2 linked regions of the Oreochromis niloticus genome follow. The protein of the gene in region 2 interacts with the protein of the main gene of each other region in a pairwise test. Links are inferred from orthologs where the notes say so. Each region holds a gene or a part of one and is shown on either strand. Other genes may lie near its edges.

Region 1 (11,392 bases), on a different chromosome or scaffold from region 2:
GCGTCACATGGAACATGTGATGCTTCGGTAAACTCTGATGTTATGGAATCAGAATGATGTCTGGGTCTTGATGAGTACAGGGCTTCAATTTGGGAGGGATGCTGCCTCCTGGAGGCACATGTCGGTCTAACTGCAGTGATGATGACGCTTTCTGTTGTGGTCAAAGAAACAAAATCATCTAACAGGAAACAGACGGCAGATCTCCTGCTTGGGGTCAAGCTGCAGGAGGACTCAGAGCTCGCTTTTGCGTCCTGCTGCTTCTCGCAGCTCTGCAGCCGACTGTGCGAGCGGGAGACTTGTTTAAACGTACGCCACGACTCACGCAAACAACACACGAACAAAAGCTGTCAGGTTGTCAGTCAAAGCCTTACATGTAACTACAGAGATATATGCCTCTATACAGAGACACACCCTGCCTCTCTGTATCTGCTGCATCTTCAAAGGACTCTTTCATGTTTTATTCACTGACCACCAGCACTCACAATGCAAGTGCAGTCACACAGCTTTATTGTACAAATGACTTTTACTTTCCAGCTCACATGATGCTTCAGGGTTATCTTTGAAAGTGATCGTATTTCTAGTAAAAACAATTCAAGTTTAATATGATTTCTCTTCAGCAGCTCACCAAAGAAACCAAAGGAGGACACGTCAAGCTAGAAAGACTGTGGAAGGCGAAGCCGTGATGTTGACTCCGTGTCCTGTAGCTCGAGGACTGAAGGCTTTGTTTCTCATTATTAACACCAACTTGGTGTTGCAGTGGATCTGTTCCTGATCAGCAGCCAAACATGTGACTCTCCCTTCCTTTAAGTCCAGAAAAATCATGACTGTAAGTTAAAATTATGAAGATACATAGACAGAAGACAGAGACTGTCATGTGATGTATATGATTATGTGATCATGAGATGTATGTGCAGATGAAATATATGTTTTCTTTCTCACACAGAGAACTGCTAAAGATGGCACTTTTGTGTTTTGTGGCAACTGCCTGAAAATCACCTATTAACTAATAATCTCAGGTTATATACCTGATTATCTGTTGCTGTCTACATACACAGATATTCACATTAACCGCTTTCATTCACAGTCCAGCCAGAAACTCATAGACCTGAAACTGAAATTCCCTCACAAACAACACTGATGCTCAGCAGCCTCCTTTGATACAGGACTCAAACTATAATGTGGCCGTTGGCAACCAGTTGAGTGGAGTCCCCTACTTTAGAGAGATAAGTTGCAGATGAGCTGCACTTGTCTGAAGTGCTCCACTGTGTTGGAAATCTGTCTGCGTTTGTAAGTGGTAAGGATTATTTGCAAACCTTTGCCAATCAACCTGCAACTTTGTGGAGACAGGTTGCCTCCCATCCAGCAACGTAACGAGCTGGTCACTGCAACTAATTCCAATCGGTCCCTAAATGAGAAAAAAACTCACCGTGCCGTCACCGAGCTACCAGTTTCTTTTAGGTCGTTGTCCCATTTGTGAGCCAAATGGCTCCTAACGAGGACGCTGTAGGTTTTCTTTTCTTTCAGTGATTTCACATCAGGCGCCATGCTGGCTGTAGACAGGTGTGTGACACACACTCAAGGGCAGGCTGGCCAAAGAAGTATGTCAGTAAACAAACAAACAAAAACTCATTGTTTCTAAAATGTTTGAAGACAAGTTGGGACAACTATCAGTTTAAGAAGAAACTATTTATCCTGTTTAATGTGATTTTCTTTGATGGAGTGAACAAAGGACTGAAATCTGGTCACTTTTTATGCAAATGAGCTGTGACGCACCGGAAACGGAAGTAGTGTTTCCCCCCATTCGTTCTTTTATTTTCTTTCCAGCTCGGCTCCGCTCCGCCAGAGTTTTAAACACAGGAGAATGGAATACAAGCTCATCATGGCGGTCTCTGGCTTCCCGAGTCTCTACGACATGAACTCTCCGACCTATCGGGACCTGAACATGCGGAGCGACGCGTGGCGGCAGGTGGCAGAGATCGTCGGAGTCCCCGGTGAGTTTCAGCACAGCGCCGAGACCCCGGCCCGAACTTCAGCTCTCACACGGGAGCACTTTCGATGTGGGCGAGACGGAAAACTTTCAAAACATGTTAAACATTCAGATTTTCATCAAAGAGAAAAGTTCAAAACAAATACGGTCCGACCTTTATTATGTTCCGACCCTCGTCGCCTCTCGACTCCAGCACAATGGTTCCTCTTCAGAACAATCAGCACAGATTTATGAAAGTTTTACAATACTGTAAGAAAATATACGACAACTTTAATCAGCGGTTTTTACTCATATATTGTATTTACTGGGAATTAACTGGTCTTAGTGGATTTTTTTAGTAATCAGAACTGGGGGAAAAAAGGTGATGACGACCAAATATGTAAGAGTGTGTGTAAAATAAGTATGTAAGGTTTTACTCATGTAGACAGTCTTTGTTAACTGAACCTAAAATTTTTCGAATACAGTAAATTATGGTTCCCTGAAGAAAAGAAAGGAAAATAAAATACAAGAATATAGAATAAAGGAACTGTTTATACGCTTTTGTTATTTATGGGTTTATATGTTTTAACATATAAACTTAATAATAACATGATAGAAATTACTGATTTTTTAAATTTAAATTTAAAAGCCTTTAAAATAAAATTCCATGGAATTTTTATTATTTGCATTTTTTTTAAAAAACAAACAGCCTAATATAATTAATCATAAATGTATGGAAGGTTTGGTTAATTTGGTTAAAAGTCACACAGGAGTTTGGAGCTGTGAGTATTTTCACATGTGAATAATACTGTTTGTTATTTTCAGTATTTTCAGTCAAGTCAGTTGCTTCAAATGTTGAATATTGTCCAAACACAAGTTAGCTGTGAAATATGACCAAGGAAACAAAAATAGTTTGGTTGTTTGAGAGTTTGTTTTAGTTTTTGCAGAATAAACTAAATTAGAGCAAAGATTAGTTTTAGTTTTTGTATGCAGGTGAAAATAAAGCATTTAATGTGACTCTCTGTGTGTGTCTCTGGTTGTGGACACAGCAGGATGGTTTTACTGTTGGATTTTATGGTTTTATGGTTTAATTAAAGCAAACTTGTGGTTTTCCACATTAGAGTCGGAGTGCAGAAGGAAGTGGAAGACGCTGAGAGACCAGCACAGGAGGGAGAGGCAGCGCGAGAAGGAGCGGCGCGAGAGCGGCATCGGGCTCTTTAACTACCGGCCATGGAGGTACTCGTCCATTCTGTCTTTTCTGAATCCATTCATCGACGCCCGGGCAGCCGGCACCAACGGCTGGGCCCTGGACCCACAGCCCTCTCAGGTCCAGGTGGCCGAAATGGTCGGCTGCAGCACGACCACGGAGACACGGAGTGACGACGACGAGAGCTACGGTTCGTACCGACGCTTCCTTCTGATTGGCCAGCCTGCAGTAGTTCCTCATCAGCTTTTCAATGTGCAGTCCGAGCACCCGGATCTCTGACGGCCTCTGATTAATATTTTCTCGTGATTCGACATCGATTTAGTTCTGATTGTTTTGTCTGTTTTCAGGGTTCGCCGTAGCTGACGCGACCACGACGACCTCCTCGTCCTCATCCTCAGAGTTCCCGCAGAGGAAGCGGCCGCCCTCTGTTGGCTTGGACCCTTCCAGGCCCAAAGAAGCAAAGGTTGAGGTGAACTCGGGTGCCGCAGCCACTGACGATGGCGTGCAGACGCAGCAGCACGCCAACATGAAGGAGCTGTTTGAGATGATGATGCACTCGGTGACATCTCTTGCTGCGACCTTAGCTTCATCACACTCTTCCTCGCAGACCCCTCTTTTGCAGCAGGATCCGCAGAGTCATCATCGCAGCCTTCCGCCATCCTGGACGGCGGCGCGGCTGAACCAGCTGAAGACAGAAGAGCCGGAAGGTGACGTGGACGAGCTGCTCGTCCAAACGGACGATGAGGAGGAGGTGGAGGAAGAGCGCCGCCCCGCCTCTCCCAGGCCGCTCCGGCCAAAGAGGAAGAGCGTCGACGGCCTGCTGGAGGAATTCCTGAGGAAAACAGAAGCCAGGGATGCGCAGAGGGAGCGTGACATGGAGCAGAGGGACGACGTGACGCTGTTCCTGCTGAGCCTGGCTCCGGCTATGAGGAGGCTGACAGCAGAGAAACAGTCGTGGGTCAGAACCAAGATGCAGCAGTTTCTGCATGAGGCCGAGTTTGGTGCCACAAAGTTCCAGTGAGCCCACAAACGTTTTGATGGAAGCTCATTCGAAGGGGAAGCACTGAATCTTCCCTGCAGACTCCACAGGTGCTGACTCTTCTTACAGCTGCTTCAGGTAGCTCCAGATTTGATGGTCTGTCCCTGACCGATGACTCCAGATCCCGGGTTTCTGTTTTCATCGATGACTAAATGGATGTCTGCACAAAGCAGGACTTCGGGCACATCAGGGTCACTGCAGGGTTAACGCCACGCTTCAGTGTTGATGTCTGATTACTTAATGCGGACTTAAACTTCTGCACAGAGGACTCTGTGCACCTGCACATCCGTGTTCAGCTAGCAGGAGACTTTCTAAAGTTTAGATTTAGAAAGCAGTTTTTCATGACCAACTTTATTCCTGCAAGATGGCCGTCTGCAGATTTAAAACAGCTTCGTCGGCTTGTAACTCTCAAAGTGGTGATTTGATGCTAAAGTGTCTAAAATTTGAACCTTTGTAGATGAAGCCTACATCTGAATTAAGAATATTTATTCTGTCGTCTTTCTCAGACGGTCAAACAGCGCAACGGAGGACAGTAAGCAGACGCCTCTCTGACAGTCTGCGTTTGTCCACCTGTCAGTTGATCACAGAGCTAAGACGTGATTGTGATCGGGCACCATCACCGTTCATACTCACTAAAGCATTCAGAGCACACACTTTAATACTTCACTACTGTACAGCACACTGTTACACACACACAGACATGAATGGGTGCAGCTTGTATCATGTGTTTAATAAGCTGCAGGCGCCGCCTCCTTCATGTGTCCATGTAGCCTGAATCTTGATGCAAGCAGGTAAAGTGATAAAGATCTGCTCTTAAGATCTTTGTAGCACATTAATTATTGTGTTGTTAAGTTTGTGGTCCTAAAGTGTCACACGCTACGTCAGGGCAGATGGTGCACTCCAGCAGTGCAGACCCACTTTTCCTCCTCTTCTCTGTCCCTGACCTAAAATACTTCTTTACCCGACGTGAACGAGGATCTTTTATGACTTGAATGAAGCGAAGCTCAAACAGAGAGATGTTGGTTCACGTTCCTCTGAGATCATCTCAGACTGTTAAAACCACTCAATGTATTTTATGTACTTTTATTTTGAAAGGCCAGTCACACTGAGACCAAAGTGTGATCTTTGCTTTACTAATGTTAACCTCTCCTCTGAATCAGGAGTTCAGTGATGATCAATGAAATTGTAAATAATATTTGTACCTATTACCAGTAACCAGTTGCAGCTTTCTCCTGGTTTCCATGGTGATGCAGTATTTATGGAGCTGTGGTTGCAATCAAAGTTTCCTCCTGGCTGTGAGAGTGTGAGGCCACAGCGTCTTTGGTTATGTTATCTGAGCTGAACGCTCCATGTGTGATGCAGAAAAGCACATTTTGTATTACAGAAAAGTTTCTGTCTGTAATTCTAAACAATCATAAGAGCGTGATTTTTCCCAGATAGCACTGAACGCTTCAGCGAAGGATTCCTGTCACTCTGGTTAGTGTGCACGACTCAGGCTGCTCTCCCATGTTATTCAGTCCTGAGTTGGAACATTTTTTATGTTTCAGAATCCTGCAGCTGATTTTATTTTTCTGTGTTTGTGCTGTTTTTGTTCTTTGTTTAAAAAAAAAAAAAAAAACTCTTCTTGCAGTCATTTGTGTTTTTATTTCAAAGTGAATCCTGACAGCTGAGTGATGCTTAGAGTGAACTTCATATGCAAACACCTGAGCAGACTGCTGCAAATATTATTCCACCATTCATAAAGTGAGCTTCAGGAGGAGCCGATTAAAACCTGATTACTGACTGAAAAGAGCTCTTAGTGTGCTGCTGTGAGTATTTCACCTTAATGTGAAGTTTTCATGCTCATGCTGTGACCCAGATTCAGCAGGAAATTGCCGCTGTAAGGATGTTTTCTTACATATACAAACTATCATTTTCTGGTCTCTGGAATAACATGTGGATTACTGAACGTACACAGACTCTGAACAAAGTTGGAAGTCAGTTTCCATAAAATTGTTGTTTTAAAAATAAAAATAATCTTTGGTCATTTCTGAGGAAATGAAAACTAATATTTTAACTGCACGAAGCACAAAAGCACTGTGACCACTACTCCTTCCGTGAACGTGCAAATGCTCCATTTCGTTAGAAAATAATGCAAAAATCTAATTTAATAGGAAATTATAATTAATAAAATATGAAGATTTTCCTAGTTATTTATAAATCTTTCCTTAAATTTAAAAATGAAAATAGATTTTTACAAATGTAAATAACATTTCCTGTATAGCTTCATTTACCTGAATGTCGTGTTTTTAAGTAATTTATCTAGAACAATTTCTAATAAGCGCACTTGTTGGTTTTAAGGTAAAGAAATGTCGCCACCAGGTGGCGAACTGTACAACTACAAGTGTAGCACGTTCAGTCCGGAGTCAGCTGATCAAAACACGGAAGTGGAGGAGCAGTGAGTGGAGTGAGAGGAGCAGCAGGAGCAGCGGGAGCTTCTTCTGTGGGTTTCTGAAGCTTTGAAGCTTTTTTCTCTCGATTCCACGAGACGACCTGGTTTCTGTGAGTCACGTGACAGCCATGTTCAATTTAAATGTGATCAGGGTCCGTGAAGTCACTCTGTCACCTGCAGACCACACGAGAGCAGGTGCTGATCGGACACGGTCTGAGTCATAAAACGGGATTTTAGTCCTGCGGACTTCTTACGTGTGAACAGATTAACAAACTCAGCAGAGCTTCGCATCTCTGAACCCCACGGATTATTTGTAAAAACACAACAGGGCGGGTTCACAGCCTTTTACAAGTTTTGTGCACATTAATTGTCACATTTTCTAAAATATTTCGCTTGAGAGTCATAAAAAAAGCTTCAAAATAACAGTACAAGCTGAACTCTTCTTGTAATGATGATGAAGCTGTGGATAGATTTCAAGCTTCTTCTTAGTCATGTAATACTTCATGGTTTGAGTGCCAGTGTTTATTTTGTTATTGTTGTATGTTTTGAGTTGCTTATCAGTAAATAGTCAGTGTCATCTTTCCAGTCACTTTAAACCCTTCTGTCTAACAGGGTTTCCTTGTATGTGACGATAATGACGGTGAAGGTGTTTCGCAGTCCGGCCCGTCACGGCTATGCAGTGGAAGTGTCTCCGTATATCCCCAGCAGAGTGGCCTGTGCTGCTTCACAGTACTACGGGATAGCAGGTCAGTAGAGTTCAAGAGGTCACAGTGTGGAGAACACACCTGTATGAGGTTTCCACATGATAAAGAATGAATTACACAGGGTGAAGGAAAACCCCCTGGTTTCGGCTCACTGCTGGAGCCTCCTGTGGACATTAGAGGAACTCCAGTTTCTGGCTCTTCATCACTTCTAGTTTCCTGACTTTTGATCCATATAAATAATATGAAATAAAATAGTACGTGCTGTTTGTTTCTGGACGTTGACCTTGTGTTGATGGAGGAACCTCAGCAAGCTGAACAGACCCTGATGAAGACGAGCATCACGTGGTTTTTAAAGAGTCAGACAGCTTTCTCATTTCCATTCACTCTGTGTGTGTGTGTGTGTGTGTGTACAGGCTGCGGCACACTGCTGGTCCTGGATCAAACCGAGACTGGGCTCACCTTAGTGAGAAGGTAACATCTGTTTCCTCATCTCTCTCTCTCTAACATCTGTTTTTGTCCTTTATGCTTACAAATGATGGTTATAAGAAGTTGCAGGAGGTTTAGGGCTCGTTTTCATCTAATTTCGGCACAGATCAGATTATTATTGGACTGCGAGGGAAACAGAAACCCCTGCTTTTATGTGACTTTACCTTAATTTTACTAGGAGTTCCATTGAGAGAGCGACATGGCCTAAAAACTCAGAAAATAATAAAAATGCAGATGATATGTACAAATCAGTAGGAGTCACATTCCTCCTCGACTGCATTCTGAGTGATGACGTATGTGTGATTATTCTGTAGATATGAGATCTTTGTGTGAAGTGTGCCATGTCTGAGGTTGTTAACTCCACATCTGGGGAAGATTGAAACACAGAGAGGGGGCAAAACCAAAACCAGCATCGCTGGTCGTCCTGTGAGGCGTCAGTGATGATGGACCCAAAAATCATGGATGTTTGTCTCCCTCTGTTCTATCAGTTAAAGTCGCCGTTTCAGAAGAAAAGGCTTCGGGCTGACGGAGAGGACTCTGTGGCAAAATGAAAAGGAGTGAGAATAGTCTAGCTGTTTTTCAGGAAGTTTATTTTTCTGCTCTTCCTGTTGGAAGCTGCGTAGCTACGAACTGCAGGCGACTGCTTCACACCACCGTTAAAAATCCCTGAAATAAACCTTTAAAGTTGAATAAAAGAAACAAGAAATCAGTCAAGGGTCAAAACTCCAAAGTTTTTTATGTAGTCTCCGTGTGTGTGTGTGTGTCTCAGCTGGGAGTGGGGTGACGGCCTGTTCGACGTGGCATGGAGTGAAGGTAACGAGCACGTATTGGTGGCAGGCGGCGGAGATGGCAGCCTCCAGCTGTGGGATACAGCCAATCACAGCGCTCCACTGAGGGTGGCTAAAGAACACACACAGGAGGTAACGCACACATGCGTGCGTGCACACACAGACATACACGCACACACAGGTGTTCTGACTGTGACGTGTGTGCAGGTGTACGCTGTGGACTGGAGTCAGACTCGAGGAGAAAGCCTGATAGTTTCTGGATCCTGGGATCAAACGGTGAAAGTGGTAAGATGAAAGTCTCTCATTTCTTTCCCTCTCCGTCTGCGTTCTGTCTCCCTAATGTTAGTTTTATCTCCGTCAGTGGGACCCTGCTCTCAGTCCATCGCTGACCACCCTCAGAGGTCATGAAGGGGTCATCTACAGCACCATTTGGTCACCTCACATCCCAGGATGCTTTGCGTCTGCCTCAGGTGAGTCAGCCGGCCTGTTAGAGGGTTTAAAGTGGCTGCTTTCACCACTAGATGGCGTTGTTGTGATGGTTTTTGGAAGCAGGCCTGAAGATGTTTTGAACTTTGCTTCAGGCTGCTCAGATTCAGCTTCACTTTGGATTTAAAGCTACAAAGGAGGAAATGTTTGATGTCATGAAGCTTTTTCTCAGTGTCTGTCTGCGAGCACGAGTGCACCTTGAGCTCTGGAGGTTTTCGTGGTAATCACTCATGTTGTTTGTTGGAGGTTTTCCTCATCGTGTGCAGTGTAGGAAGTGAGGTGAGTCTGCATGATGGCAGTAAATATACTACTGAAGGTTTTAGTCTTAGTAGAAATTCATAGTTAGGAACGTAAATCTGTAATTTAAACACGACATGTGGAAAGCACTGTGCTTTAATAATGTAATATTTAATGTAATATTCTTGATATTTATAATTGAGCGATTTGTATATTATTGCTATTTCTTAAATTTGTAAATTCTGTAACATATTGTATTATTTAATTAGTTTAGTCTGTTACTGTTGCTGTCTTGGAGCAACTGTAACCCACATAATTTCCTTAGGGTTAGTATTCTGATTCTGATGATTCTGATTTAAACCTGTTTGGTGCTGATGCAGACACAGGGGTGTAGTTTGTAGCAGGAGGCGTGTCTCTGTCACTGTGATGTCATCGCTGGGTGCCCCAGTGATTTTTCTCTGTCGTTGTGCTTGATTGTTGAGTGGTGGGATCTTTAAAGCCGTCCTCCTGGCTCTGTCTGCTGTAGTGGTGCGCTCCACAGTGACGTCAGACTGCTGCACGTCTCATTGGGTCGTGCTGGAGACATCGCCATCCTCTGTCAGAGCAAGACTTGACAGATTCTCAGAGACTCTGCAACAGCTTGAAACTTAACTTCCTGCTCTCAGACCTACAGATGTTTGGGGTCAGTGACAGTAGAAGTGCCCCTGAAGTCTATAAAACTGCGGTGCCCCTGAAGTCTATAAAACATGTCCCACACCAGCATAAATCAAAGGCATCATCTTTGAAGGATAGGTCGAAGGTGCTGCGGTGCAGGGCTTAAAGAGTTGGTTCCTGGTTGGGTGGAGACTGTGTGGGCCTTACATGTTTCCTCCAGCAGACGTGCACTTTATGTTAACTGGCTGTGAGTGTGGATGAAGAGTGGTCAGTAAGACCAGAGAAGCATGTAAAAGTCTGAAGTGTGAGTGAGTTTGTAGCCGGAGGGAGCATTTGGATGATCTCCTGGGAGCGTGTTTAAACTTCATACAGGGGCAGCGATGCATCATCCGATCTACAGCAGCTGCCTTCAGGTTGGGCTCGGTTTGGGAGGCGCTGTCTCATGCGTCTTGGCCGATGAGTTTGGGTTAATTGGTTTGTGAGCGAGTGGAGGCCTCTGATGAGATTCTCAAAGCAGGAAGATGTTAACCCCTCGCTGCTCACAGGGTAGTCCAGGTCCAGCCATTTGACCTTAAATGAGTTTTTATTTTTGATTGAGTGTATACAGAACACACAGCTGGGACAAATAACTGTTGAATCCTGGGTTTGTGTGCTATAAAAGTTCTGTTCAGGTTGGGTTCAGTTATTAGGAGTGTGCTGCAGTGGACTCATGCATGCACCAGCAGTCCTCAGATGAGATTTTTAAGGAAGTTCTGGATGTTTTTCATCTGATTTTTGAACAAATTTCTGAGAATTTATTCTTCACGATGGCTGTGCTGAATTAAAACAAGAAAAATATTGTGTTTGTGTTCAGATCTGAGTTCTGACTATGTGTCAGTGATCCCTGTGACAGATGTGTGATTAATGGCTCCTTGAGGTTGGTTTTAACGGACCATACGATGACCGGCGCCACAGATGAATTTGGAGGCTGTAATTCTGGGGTTTGTCGTTGTGGTTGATGCTTCATATTTGTTTTCAATTGATTTGATTTTTGATTTCTCTGCTTTTTTTATTGACCTGTTTCTCAACTCGGTGAACTCATTCAATTTTCTGGTCTGTAAAATATCAGGTTATGGCTTCAAACTGCCCAGGACAGTGTCCCGCAGTCCTTTAATAACAGCTCTGCAGCTAAATGCTTTACTGAGAGCACATCTCCATAAAGAAACCTTCAGAGTGTCTGTGTCCGCCCCTTACAGCGGTTCACCTCCATGTTGGTCTTGTACATCAGCTCAACCGAACACACTGCATTTGATATTCTGCCAGTGAACTCGCCGCACGCTCACACTTAGTAAAAACACAGTGTTTCTCTTAATGTGGTCCTAAAACACATAAAAGGCTCTGCTTTTACCTACAAG
Region 2 (11,620 bases):
TGCCCAGACCTTTAACGTGTACACTTTCTGGGTTTGTAAGTAAGTAAGTAAGTAAAATTTATTTATATAGCACTTTTTAAGACAAAAAGCTGTTACAAAGTCCTTCACATGGGAATGAAGGCATGTCAATTGTGAGCTATCAGTGCTTGTAGCTAGTGATAAATCAATTGTAAACATATTTATGTGATTAGAAATATTAGGAAAAGCACAATAGGCTCCCTTTAATCAAAAAGCAATAATGTTAAAATAAGATAAATGAAGCTTGGATGTACGTGTCTGACCTTGAAAGTGACTTCATCACCAACAGCGTACTTCCTCGCTACGATCTCTTTCACCTCTTTCTCTATGTTTTCCTGTGTGGTTCCTTTCACGTCAATGTAATAGCAATCACCGCTGGCATAGTGGCAAGAGATTGCCTGTGAACACACACACACACACACACACACACACACACACACACACACACACACACACACACACACAGATATCACACCTCATTATTCATATGCAAAAAGAAATACTACAAATAATCATGTGGTTGTGTGGAGCTAGTTTGCATTAGAAAATATCAGGATCCCAGGTGGACTCTGGGTAATGCAGTACCTTGCGGAAGCCCTGTGTCTGGTTCATGCCAGAGCCGTGGATGAGCAGTGGGTGGAAGAAGACTGTGTCACCCTTTTCCATTTCTAGGTGCACCCTGGGGTGCTCCGGGTCATAGTCTCGGACTCCATGGTACATCTTGTTCACCCCACCCTGAGGACACGTGCAATTATTTAAACACTCTGCGTGTGTGTGTGTACATCCTAGCAGGCATGACTGTAACTTTTACAGTGTTGTGTGTACCTCCCACTCAGGATAGTCATGTTCCTGCAGCGTGCCTTTGTGTGATCCTGGCAGGACGACCAGGCAGCCATTCTGCCTGTTCACCGTCTCCATAGCCGTCCATGCACAGACGATCCGATCGACTGGTCGAAAGGGGAAGTAATGCAGATCCTGATGCATCGGGTGACGAGACGTCTTCTTACCTGGAACGACAGAAGACATGTTAGACATTACGATACCAAACTAGTTTTTATTTTTAATGTCTTCTCACAATTCACACCTTAAAGATACTCTATGTTATGTTTGAGCTTAAGAAATGTATTTGATGCTTCAGATAAATAAAGAACTGGTCATTCAGAGGGAAGATTACTAACACAGTCTAAAAAGAAACGCTAATAGCAATCAAGCACACATCAAAAGTGTTGATGTAATTATGATCAATCCCACAAGAGGGAGCCAAAACTAAGGGACACCTCCAGTTAATACATTGATTATTATTTATCTGCACAACACTTGTCTTAAAAAGAGTCCGGTACCCTACAAATACTTAATTTAAGAGTAAACCCAAGAAGTACTCAGCATCCAAATAAGTATTAAGTATTTGTGACATTGTCGGCCAAACATTTTAGTGAGAATTGAAATACCTGCATCAGGAGGTTTGTTGATCAGCATCGTGTGCATTGCCATGATGTTCGGTCCAATGAAACACTCCACGTACTTCAGGATCTGATAAAGAAAAGCAAAAAGTTTTGTTCTGATAGTCTTCAGGCTCGACTTATTTCATTGTTTATCTAAAGAAACAAATTCGGTGCCCATTCATTTTTTTGTTTGTGAAAAACATTTGGACATTCCAGATTAATGATTTAAGTCCATGTAATGTTTTCTGCGTTATCACCTGTGTGATTACTGATAGCACCTCTATGAGGCACCAAATCCTTTTTATCAGAATCAATTTGGCAATTAACACAGAAAAAAGAACCATCCGAAAAACCCTACTGCTGTGTGTGTTGTCTTTGTTTGTATGTGGCGTTCCAGTACCTCTGGTAAAGAGCAGTACCGGAACAGCTCAGGATCCTCCTGAAAGTCCTGCAGCTTTGAGACAGCTCTCTGATCTGGGACAAACTCGGACTTTGCTATAGCCACGTCCCTCATCACCACCAGACCAGGAACCTTTATTTCCTGTCGACAGATCCGTTCAAACTCCCTCCTGAAGGAGGCACCAAAACACACACACACACACACACACACACACACACACACACACACACACACACACCAAACAGTCAGGACGGAAACATAATGTCCCACAGGTGCTCTACTGGGTTTAGGTAAGGTGAGTATGGGGGTCAGTCAATGAAATCAACTACTACATCCTCCAGGAACTGACTGCACATTCTCACCACATGAAGCTGTGCACTGTCATTCACCAGGACAAACCCAGGACTTGCTGCACCAACGTAGGGTCTGAGACTGAGTCCAAGGATTTCAAGGATGCTGTTGCCAAGCCTGTAGGTCTGTGTCCCTTCATGGATTTGCCTCCCAAGACTATTACTGACCCACCACCAAACCACTCATGCTAAACAATGTTACAGGCAGCCTAATGTTCTTCATGGCTTCGCCAGAGCCTTTCACGTCTGTCACATGTGCTCAGAGTGAACCTGCTCTCTGTGAAAAACACAGGGTGCCAGTGGTGGACCTGGCAATTCTGGTATTTTATGACAAATGCCAATCAATCTCCACGATGACGAGCAGTGAGTGCAGGGTCCACTAGAGGACATTGGGCCACCTTCATAAAGTCACATTTCTGATGCTTTAGTCAGAGACATTCACACCAGTATCCTGCTGGAGGTCATTTTGTGGCTCTGGCAGTGCTCACCCTGTTCTTCCTTGCAGACAATGAGCAGATACTGGTTCTGCTGATGGGTTAAGGACCTTCTACAGCCCTGTCCAGCTCTTTTAGAGTAATTGTCTGTCTGTTGAAATCTCTACCATGCTCTTGAGACTGTACTGGACTGCAAAACGTCAGGCAATGGCACGTATTGATGTTCCATCTTGGAGGAGTTAAACTACCTATGCAAGATCTGTAGGGTCTCCCCTCATGCTACTACTGTAATAAAAACAGTCAGATGAGCAGGAAAAAAATCAGTGTCCTCCACCTGTAAAACCGTGCCTGTTTTGGGGGTTGTCTCACTGTTGCTCCTCTAGTACACCTGTTGTTAATTTCATTAACACCAAAACAGCTGAAATGGAATAACAACCCCTCTGTTAATTAACTGACCAGATCAATATCCCATAAGTTTAACTGACTTGATTCTACACTCTGATTAAAAAGGTAGATTGTGTAGATTTTCCTATCGCCAAACTTTCACATACTGAGTACAGTGCATGTATGAATAATCTCCAAGAGATAAAACGATCAGACTTTGGACTGCTGTAAATTTCCTGCTTTTGGCTATGAAAGATCAGATATCCCTGTCTTCGTTCTGTGCTCACTGCCTGAGCTGCTGCGAGCCAATCAGAAGAAAGCTAGCTCAAAGGGGATGAAAGCTAAAACTGATTAAAATGATTGGGGATCCGCCAAAGGCTGGCATAAAATAAAAAATGAATATTTTGAACTGTAACCTATTCAAGTAAAATATTTATTTTATGTGTTTGTGCTTTTTTTTTTTTTTTTTTTAAAGTACTTATTTAATTTATTATTTATTGCCAAGTGTCTGATGTTACCTGAACCTGTCGATGTCCTGCTTGGACACCAGATTTCTGATGAGAAGGAAGCCATTTTCCTCATAGAAGAGCCGCTGTTCCGGGGTCAGCAGGTCATTATCCAAAGTATACCTGCCAAATTGAAAAATAAAAAAAAATAAAATAAAAAAGCTTGCCTTGCCTTTTGAGCCAATAGCACTGTCATTACCACTTGCTATTACACATGGAGAGCAGAAAAGTAGGACACTGTGGACCTGATCAAAAGAAGAAACTGTGGGAAAGGTGAACGATAAACACGAATGATTGCTGAGTGCATAAAAACCTTTAGCCCGAGGCGGAGTTTAGGTGTGTCCTTACCTCAGTCTCTGTGGGTGACCGTAGCTGACGGTTTGAGCAGACGTGTGTGCAGCTCTCTTCAGCAAATCAGTCAAGGATTTAAAAAAAGCAAAACAAGGGGAAAAATGTCTGCTATAATCGATTATCATTTATAGATTTTAGATTATTATTTATAGATTTTAGATCATTTCCAAGATTTTACAGTGTAACATTCTGCCTTTCTGCCAAAATATGTGAAAATGTCTTTTATGTGAAAATCTGCATTGGTGCTGCATATTAAAACCAGGGAAACCGACAACACTTTTTTAAAACAAATCACATATATAAATTAGTAAATAGCTTATCTTTAAGTTGACCTATCTACAGATAGACCTAACAGATACACTTGTTCACTTGTTATTTAAAAGGTTGATATAGAAAATAATCCAATAAGAGTAGTTTCCGAGCCCTAAGAAACAGTTATAAATGCCTCCAGCTAGCTAGCATTTACAACTTTTATTGCTAATGACATGCAATCCAAACAAACATACTTCTACAGAAACAACGGTGAACACATCAGCTCAAAAATAACTAGCGGTGTTAATAGTGCAAGAATAGTTATAGGCATTCAAGTCCTGTCCTGTCCTTATGTCAGTATTCTCCGGGAGGCCTGCAGTCCACCACTGGATCCCGGTAGCAGAGTATCAGTGTGATCGGGCGCTCACTGCTTTGCTATAGGCTAAGAGCCTCGCGCCCGATTTATCGCAAAGATGAATAAAAAAGATACAATCCCTGCAGAAGGTCTGTCAAGATGGTTGATAATGACTCGGAGTCTCTCCGCAGGACGAGACATTTTCTGTCAAGTACAAGTGCTTCGTGTCCTCCGTAAACTCAAGTAGTGGAGAACTGGGTTGTTGTATTTTACGTACCTCTGCTGACTAGGGCAAAGGCTAACGTGATGACACGCACTCACGCACAGTCTGTGAATGTGCTGTTATGCAAAACACCTACAGGAATACAGTCATTTATGGATCCGTTAAAACACTGCCCAGTTATTATCACAACACCGTGACAAGTTTGATAAAATCAAAAATACTTCAGTGACTTGTAAGGGAAATGATAGTTCCCCTCCTGTGATTAGATGAACTGATCCTTTAAAAATAGCAGAAAAAAAAAAGAAAAATGAAAACTCTATTGTAGAGTTCAAGCATTTTTCTTGTTTTAGCAAACCTTTTCAACTGTTAGTGAACGTTATTTATTGCAAACAACGGGATTACATAAGGATTTCCAGCATCACTAGTAATTAAAGTTTTATCCAGCAGGGAGCACCACACAACAATAATTATTCCCATCATCTTTATAATTTATGCTCTAATTTTAAAGCTGTTGAAAACTTGAGCGTTTCATCATTTCATCATTTTTGGCATCTTCAACAAACACATGCTATTTTGTAATAGAATTTGAATCGATTCAATAATTGATCTACTCATTTCAAGACTGAAATGGACAGTGTTGCATTGTTGTAGTGATGATTAACAAACGAAAAGGAACGGTATGCTAACAAAGCCTCCAACTGTTTCTTTTTTTTATGCATTTCCCAGCTTTGACAAACTATACTCTGATGTCATTCAAACTTAACTTCTAGTTTTACCTACAAGCTAACAAACAAAAAGGCATACAAAATAGTATGTATAAAATGCAGTATGTATTTATGTATAGTCTTTGGTGTATGCGTCTATCTAGACGTTTTTCTTTACGTTTTTCTAGTCTATGATGTGGAAGTTGTCTATTCAAAAAAACAACTTTTAGTTTGTACACTGACCAGATAACCGTCACAGTGGCTTTTATTTTGAAAATTGCAATAGAACAGACCTTTGTTTTGAAACGTCAGCGGAAGTGCCGTTATCGTAATCTATCTTACATGCTCGCACCCCTCCCGTCTCCGCACTCGACATCCTCCTCCAGCCTCTTTAAACTGCCTCCGCTGCCGAACAGACGACTTTTTCGGGTTTCGGTCTGTGTCCGTTCGCCCGCACACTCGCACACCTCTCTGCTTGTTTCGGAGGATATTTTTTTCTCTGGCGGAGCGTGTGGAGCACAAACAAGCACAGACGGAGCTGTGTTTCAGGCTACTTCAGTGGGCGGGTAAAGCGGAGGAGGGCATCCGGGCCTGGCAGATCCGGAGGGTCGGCTTGAAAACGACGGAATTCAACATTTTCAGGTAAAATCGTTGATGGGTCACTTTCAGGTAACTCTTAATGAACAACCGGGAGGCTAGGCTTCGCCCGGCGGCTGAAGACGAAGTCTGAATGGTGGCGAGTGGAAATGGCAAAACAGAGGAAACGGCAGCTGGAGAATAATACAGCCAGACTCTTACTGTAATTCATATTTTACTGTTTACCCAGCGCCTTTATCCAGCACGGTCATACGTGTTGTTTTTGTAGCCTCAAACACTGTCCAAGCGTAAAATCTCTTATTTCACGTTATGTTTGTTTACATAACGTAGCTCAGACATCGGCAGCCAGGCTGCCACCAGCGATAGGAAGCGTACTGTAGATTAAAGGCTGAAATAATGCACAGATGTCATCCTCGAAATCGCCCTAAATCCCAATGAAAACAGTATGGATCATTGCAGGTATGATGCAAGACCTGTTCACAACATATTCATATCACCCCAAAGCTCACAATGCACCATACAATGAGACTTCCCCTTAAAGGAGCAGACATGCATTTTACCATTAACTAGCCTTTGACTTCATATAAGTGTGAAAGAAATGGCTTCTCTGCTACAGTCAGCGCCTTTACTTCAGTTTGTGCCACTTTTTTGCTGATGTGAAAGCACTGTGGAGCAAAGTTGGAATACGAACATTATGAAACTGAGTTAAATCCCTTAAAATAACCTCCAAATAACTCCTGACTTTGAACAAAACTGTGGTTGTTCCTGTCAAGTTATTTGAATACGGTTGAGACACGTTGCTGAAAGTGGAAGATAACAAGCATGCCCTTGAAAATAAGTATTAGGGACTGATTGTGTTTAAGCAGACACAAGCTCAAGGGTATTTGATTCCAATGCACCAGGAACACACTGTCCTGCTGTTACCCTGAAAACAGTGACCTGATGTTAGGTATACTATTGCCCTAGAGTTTCGCCCCGCCCCCAAATTGAATATAAAAGCACAAAAAACAAACAATTACACAACTAGAAATCCAGCATGTCATTTCAGTTATTATCACCATTTAACAATATTAGAGCTCTGCCTACATGAGAGCTTAAAATTTCTGATTATGAAATTAGAAAGAAAGTTTGCATTGTTGAAAGGGAAATAGCTCTGCAGTATTGAACGCTTCTCACCCATCTTTGCTGGGAAGTGCCTTCGATGCTTTTACGCTCTTTTCTATTTCCTGTTTAACCTGCATTTAATTCCAGCGTCCTTCATCTGGAACAACTAGCCGTTCAATTATGTGTATTTGCGAATCTGCATGTGGGCGTTTTGACCCACATTCAGATCTGGGCTGCTGGCTGTGGGAACGATACACCCCGAGAGAACGACATAATTACCCCGACAGCTCCCACTCCATGCCTGTAGGCCCGTATAGCAGTGCTTGTATTGATCAGTCTCTGCATTGTGCCACGATTGTGGGAGGTGTGTATGTGTGTGCATGCGCACACACACTCTATGTTAATTACTTTTGCTCCTGGGACTGACACATGAGGATGTACGTTATGACCTGTCTTCTAGAAGAATGTGGGATGTGTCAGTGGTTTCGGTCTGAGAAATCAAAGTGTCTTGTGATGGACTCACAGCAGGTGTCAGCGATTAGTTTGGAACTTCCTGTCAGAGCGAGTAAGTGATGAATTGGATCAGAGTACTAATTTTGGTGTGAAAGCAAGTATAAGATTCTCAGAACAAAAGATTTTTAAAAACCTTTTTTTGCTATTCAGAGTGACACTGGGCTGTGATTTTAATTTTTCTGTGTCATATTAAAATCACACAATGTGACTTTGCAGGTGGTTTCCCATAACTCAGAAAAAAATCCTAATGAGATCATCGGGGGATATCTAGTCTTAGGCTTAGACAAAAAACTGAAAGGACAGTTTTCGTGTGATTGAAAACATTACCTTACTATGGGGTAAACAGCTGTGTGCCTGGTGAACAGCTGTACAACTGTCTGTACACTGCAAAATGCAATTTTAACTTGAAGCAGTTAGTTTTTGCCTGCATCACTGCCTTAAGGTGGCTTGTGCTATGGAGCTCTATATTTTTTTATTCTACCAGGGTAGCTTTGAGTGATTTACACGTCAGGACTGTCCTTACTTTTCTTATACTGTGCCTTGATGCTGCACTTAGGGTTCATCCTGTCTGAAACAAGATTTTTTTTTTTTTTTTTTTTTAATTCTCCATTGCTTTAAGCCTGATTTTTTTTTTATTTTTTTTTTTTTTTCCTGATTGGCTGCCACATTTAAACAGAAGGTTTGAACAGTAGGTGAGTGGGGCTTCTGTCCTTACGGCTAGAGGTAACTATATTAGGGACCTGCTGACCATTAACATAGAGTTAAAAATCTGAATGTCTGAAACATAGCAGGGAGAACAGTCTGTAGCCATAAAGGGATAAATTATACATACACTGACCTTAATATTTTAGATTTCTGAAATCTGTAATCTGAGTAGGAACTGCTGTTAGAATATAAACATAACAGGAAATAAGGAAAAGATCACTAGATCCACTGTAACTGCCACAAAGTATTTGGGAAAATATGTTATATTCCATCAGATTTTAACTTAGCTGCTGCAGTGATGTAGATGATAATGGCAAGAAAATCATCAGAAAATTCTTTTTTTCTTTTTACTCTTTAGTTTTTCACAAAACACCTAAATGTTGTGTACGAAGAAGTGAATTAGCGAATGGTGGCTGACAATAATGGTGGCAATATCCCAATATGCTTTGCAGCCAGGCAGACTGCACTTCCAAAACATTGTTGCTATTGACAACCAGTCGAATAGCTTTCTCTCTCCCTCCTTCTGCCTCTTGTTTATATAACTCCAACTTGTGCCATATTTTCCAATCAGATAGGTGTTTTTTTGTGTGTGTGTGTGTGTGTGTGTGTGTGTGTGTGTGTGTGTGTGTGTGTGTGTGTGTGTGTGTGTGTGTGTTTCTGTTTCCACACCTCTTTCTTGACTCTTTGCTTTTTAGAATCTTTCTCCCTTCATCTTTGAAATATGTTTGGTGTTTGTGTGTGCGTGCACACTGTTTCTGTTTAATTCATGATTTTTCAACTCTGGTGTTTGCGTGTGCCTTTTCATCCTTGTTCTGTGTGTGCGCTAAATTTATTTACCAAATAAGCTTTTCTTCTCCTACACTTCCAGCACTGCGTAGCTTATTGTTGTGCCGAATTTGACAAAAACTCAGAGGTGGACTAGCTAACAGCCAGGGGGAATGAAAGGGAGACTGTTGCTGTGCTGCTACAGGGTGGGCTTGATGTAGGTGAAGTGGTCATTTCTGGGTTCTTTGGGGGACTGAGAAAATCGTAGGGCTTTCAAGTGAATACAGTTAATGTGGACTGGGTGCAGCGCAACTACACACACACACACACACACACACACACACACACACACACACACACACACACACACACACACTCGTAGCCACATGAACACACACAGATAGTTATGTGAGCCATGCAAGGAATGTGAATTGGGAGTTGACTGTCTCTTTTCCTCTCTCTCTCTCTCTCTCTCTCTCACACTCTCTCACACACACTCACACACACACTCACACACACACAGCTTCTTTTCAAGCTTCAAAAGCTTCAAAAAGTAAAAAATTTAGGTCATATCATCAAGCATTTCTGTCAGCCCTACTGCTGTGTGTGGGTGTGTGCGCTGTCATCTTGTATGAATGTATTTGGGTGTTGGAGGTTTTGTAGGATGTATTTGTGTTGGTGTTAAAGGGATTGAGCAGATGTGTTACTTCTCTTTATTCTCTTCTGTGCAAATAACAATTTTCATACATTGTCTTTTCACATAAACAAATTTAGTCTTCTATTATTTCTGTATTCTGTAGCATTATGGTGCCCTGTCCAGTTTTCCCCCATGGAAGTCATTTAATGACACTTTTCAGTGCAATTGTTTGTGTATTCAGGGTTGAGTTGGGTGAAATTGACTCATAATCTGGAGTTTAAGCATTGTTAGAACCACAGCATGCCGGGATTAACCCCTGCCACACACACACACACACACACACACACACAGAGGTCACACATTTAAAATAAACAGGCGTGCACTTATTATGTCACTTTCCCTCAAGAGGTGAGTGTTTTATTTTCTTTCTGAACAGGATGGATGAAATTTTTTTTTTTCAATCACGTTTTTTTCAGTCTATAAAGTGAAGGAAACATGTTTTCATGGTAATTTTTAGATAATTGTGCTAACATGTTTTGTTTTTCCTCAGTGAATTGTCAATGGCTAAGTTTCTCTAAAGGGCCTAGATTAAGCTTTAGCTTAAACCTTAACTTACTCTTACTCAATAAAACGAAAAAGAAAATTAAGCTGGCCAAATACAGGAGTGTGAGATAGACTTTAGTGGCTTGTGTTGCCTAGTCCAGGGCTGAGATAGCACTTTATTTACTGAAAAGACTCATAGAAAAGGTCAATTTTGACTGACTTGTGTTTAAGAATTTAAGCTGTAAATGGACTGGTACTTATATAGCACTTTGTTACTCTAGTTGAGCACTCAAAACACTATCTTCTATGAGCCTCATTCAACCATTCACACACACACTGCTTTTTTTCTATGCCTTTAGGCATTATCTCATATTCACATACACAGACTACGATGGGTGCAATCAGGGACAACTTGGGGTTCAGTATTTTATCAACGGATACTTTGGCATGCAGAATAGAGGAGCCTGGGATTCAACCATCTGACTTCTGATCATTCGATGACCTGCTCTACCTCCTGAACCACAGTCATAAAGTAATAACAGTGTAAAGCTAGAAGCCAGAAAATGGTTCAAAATAAGCTGTCAGTACATTATTATTAGTGTATTAGTGGCTTGGTAGTACTTAAAAAATGATTACAGTTGTTGGGATCCTCTGATTGAGAATAAGTGTTGTTAGTCAGTGTTCATTTTTTTTCGGTCACTTAATTTTTCAGAAGAAACAAACTTTTCTTCTTAGTTTGTTCATCATATCACATTGAACATTAAGCTAGTATAACATTTATGCTGCCATCTGTAAATGTCATTGTTGTAATAATTACATGAATGTCACCGTGTTTTTCTGAAATGCTGATAGCAGTCAGCGAGTTAGAGATCAGTCAGTGCGGCTGTTTGATTTGTCGCGTCCCTACAGAATTGGTGTCCAGGCTAGCAGTTGACATCTGCTATTTTGAGCTTTAAGCTTGATTAGACTTCTGCGGGAAGTTTACATGTTACCTTATGCAGTAATTGGAAACTCCTTTTATCCCTACACTGCAACCTTCCACGCCATTCAAGTCGGTGTGGTATGCGTTGACCGGACATGTAGTTACATTTCTCGTCAGGTTACGTAGAATATTGTAGCATACGGTTCAAGTGGGGGTCCGGTTATGGCGTAAGTTGCGGCATAGATCTGAAGCACAAGTATAATTCACATGTTACTCCTTACCTGACAACCCTTTGTCCCCCACTAACTCTTTTTTTCATTGAAATTATAATTTCATCTAAAAAGATCTCTATTTATACATTTTCCTAAAAACTTGTCCAGTTCAGGGTCAGGATTCTAGTTGTGATAGGATCCCA

What was found.
Region 1: the proteins of phyh (region 2) and pex7 interact in a two-hybrid assay, tested with the Homo sapiens proteins (2 studies listed by BioGRID, with this or other methods). The link is inferred for Oreochromis niloticus from reciprocal best matches to the Homo sapiens genes PHYH and PEX7.

The regions. Positions count from the first base shown.
Region 1 is NC_031980.2:24,481,483-24,492,874, forward strand, and holds the start of pex7 (peroxisomal biogenesis factor 7), read left to right. Parts: upstream 1-6,619; 5' UTR 6,620-6,753; intron 6,754-7,255; 5' UTR 7,256-7,277; coding exon 7,278-7,389; intron 7,390-7,760; coding exon 7,761-7,818; intron 7,819-8,602; coding exon 8,603-8,753; intron 8,754-8,828; coding exon 8,829-8,906; intron 8,907-8,982; coding exon 8,983-9,091; intron 9,092-11,392. Other genes in the region: uncharacterized protein LOC102082537, read left to right, coding at 1,862-1,991, 3,088-3,363, 3,521-4,194. UniProt on the Homo sapiens protein: Receptor required for the peroxisomal import of proteins containing a C-terminal PTS2-type peroxisomal targeting signal. Specifically binds to cargo proteins containing a PTS2 peroxisomal targeting signal in the cytosol.
Region 2 is NC_031981.2:35,511,326-35,522,945, forward strand, and holds the start of phyh (phytanoyl-CoA dioxygenase, peroxisomal), read right to left. Parts: upstream 4,789-11,620; 5' UTR 4,694-4,788; coding exon 4,628-4,693; intron 3,939-4,627; coding exon 3,883-3,938; intron 3,658-3,882; coding exon 3,547-3,657; intron 2,030-3,546; coding exon 1,861-2,029; intron 1,549-1,860; coding exon 1,467-1,548; intron 1,026-1,466; coding exon 844-1,025; intron 754-843; coding exon 604-753; intron 417-603; coding exon 282-416; intron 1-281. UniProt on the Homo sapiens protein: Catalyzes the 2-hydroxylation of not only racemic phytanoyl-CoA and the isomers of 3-methylhexadecanoyl-CoA, but also a variety of other mono-branched 3-methylacyl-CoA esters (with a chain length of at least seven carbon atoms) and straight-chain acyl-CoA esters (with a chain length longer than four carbon atoms).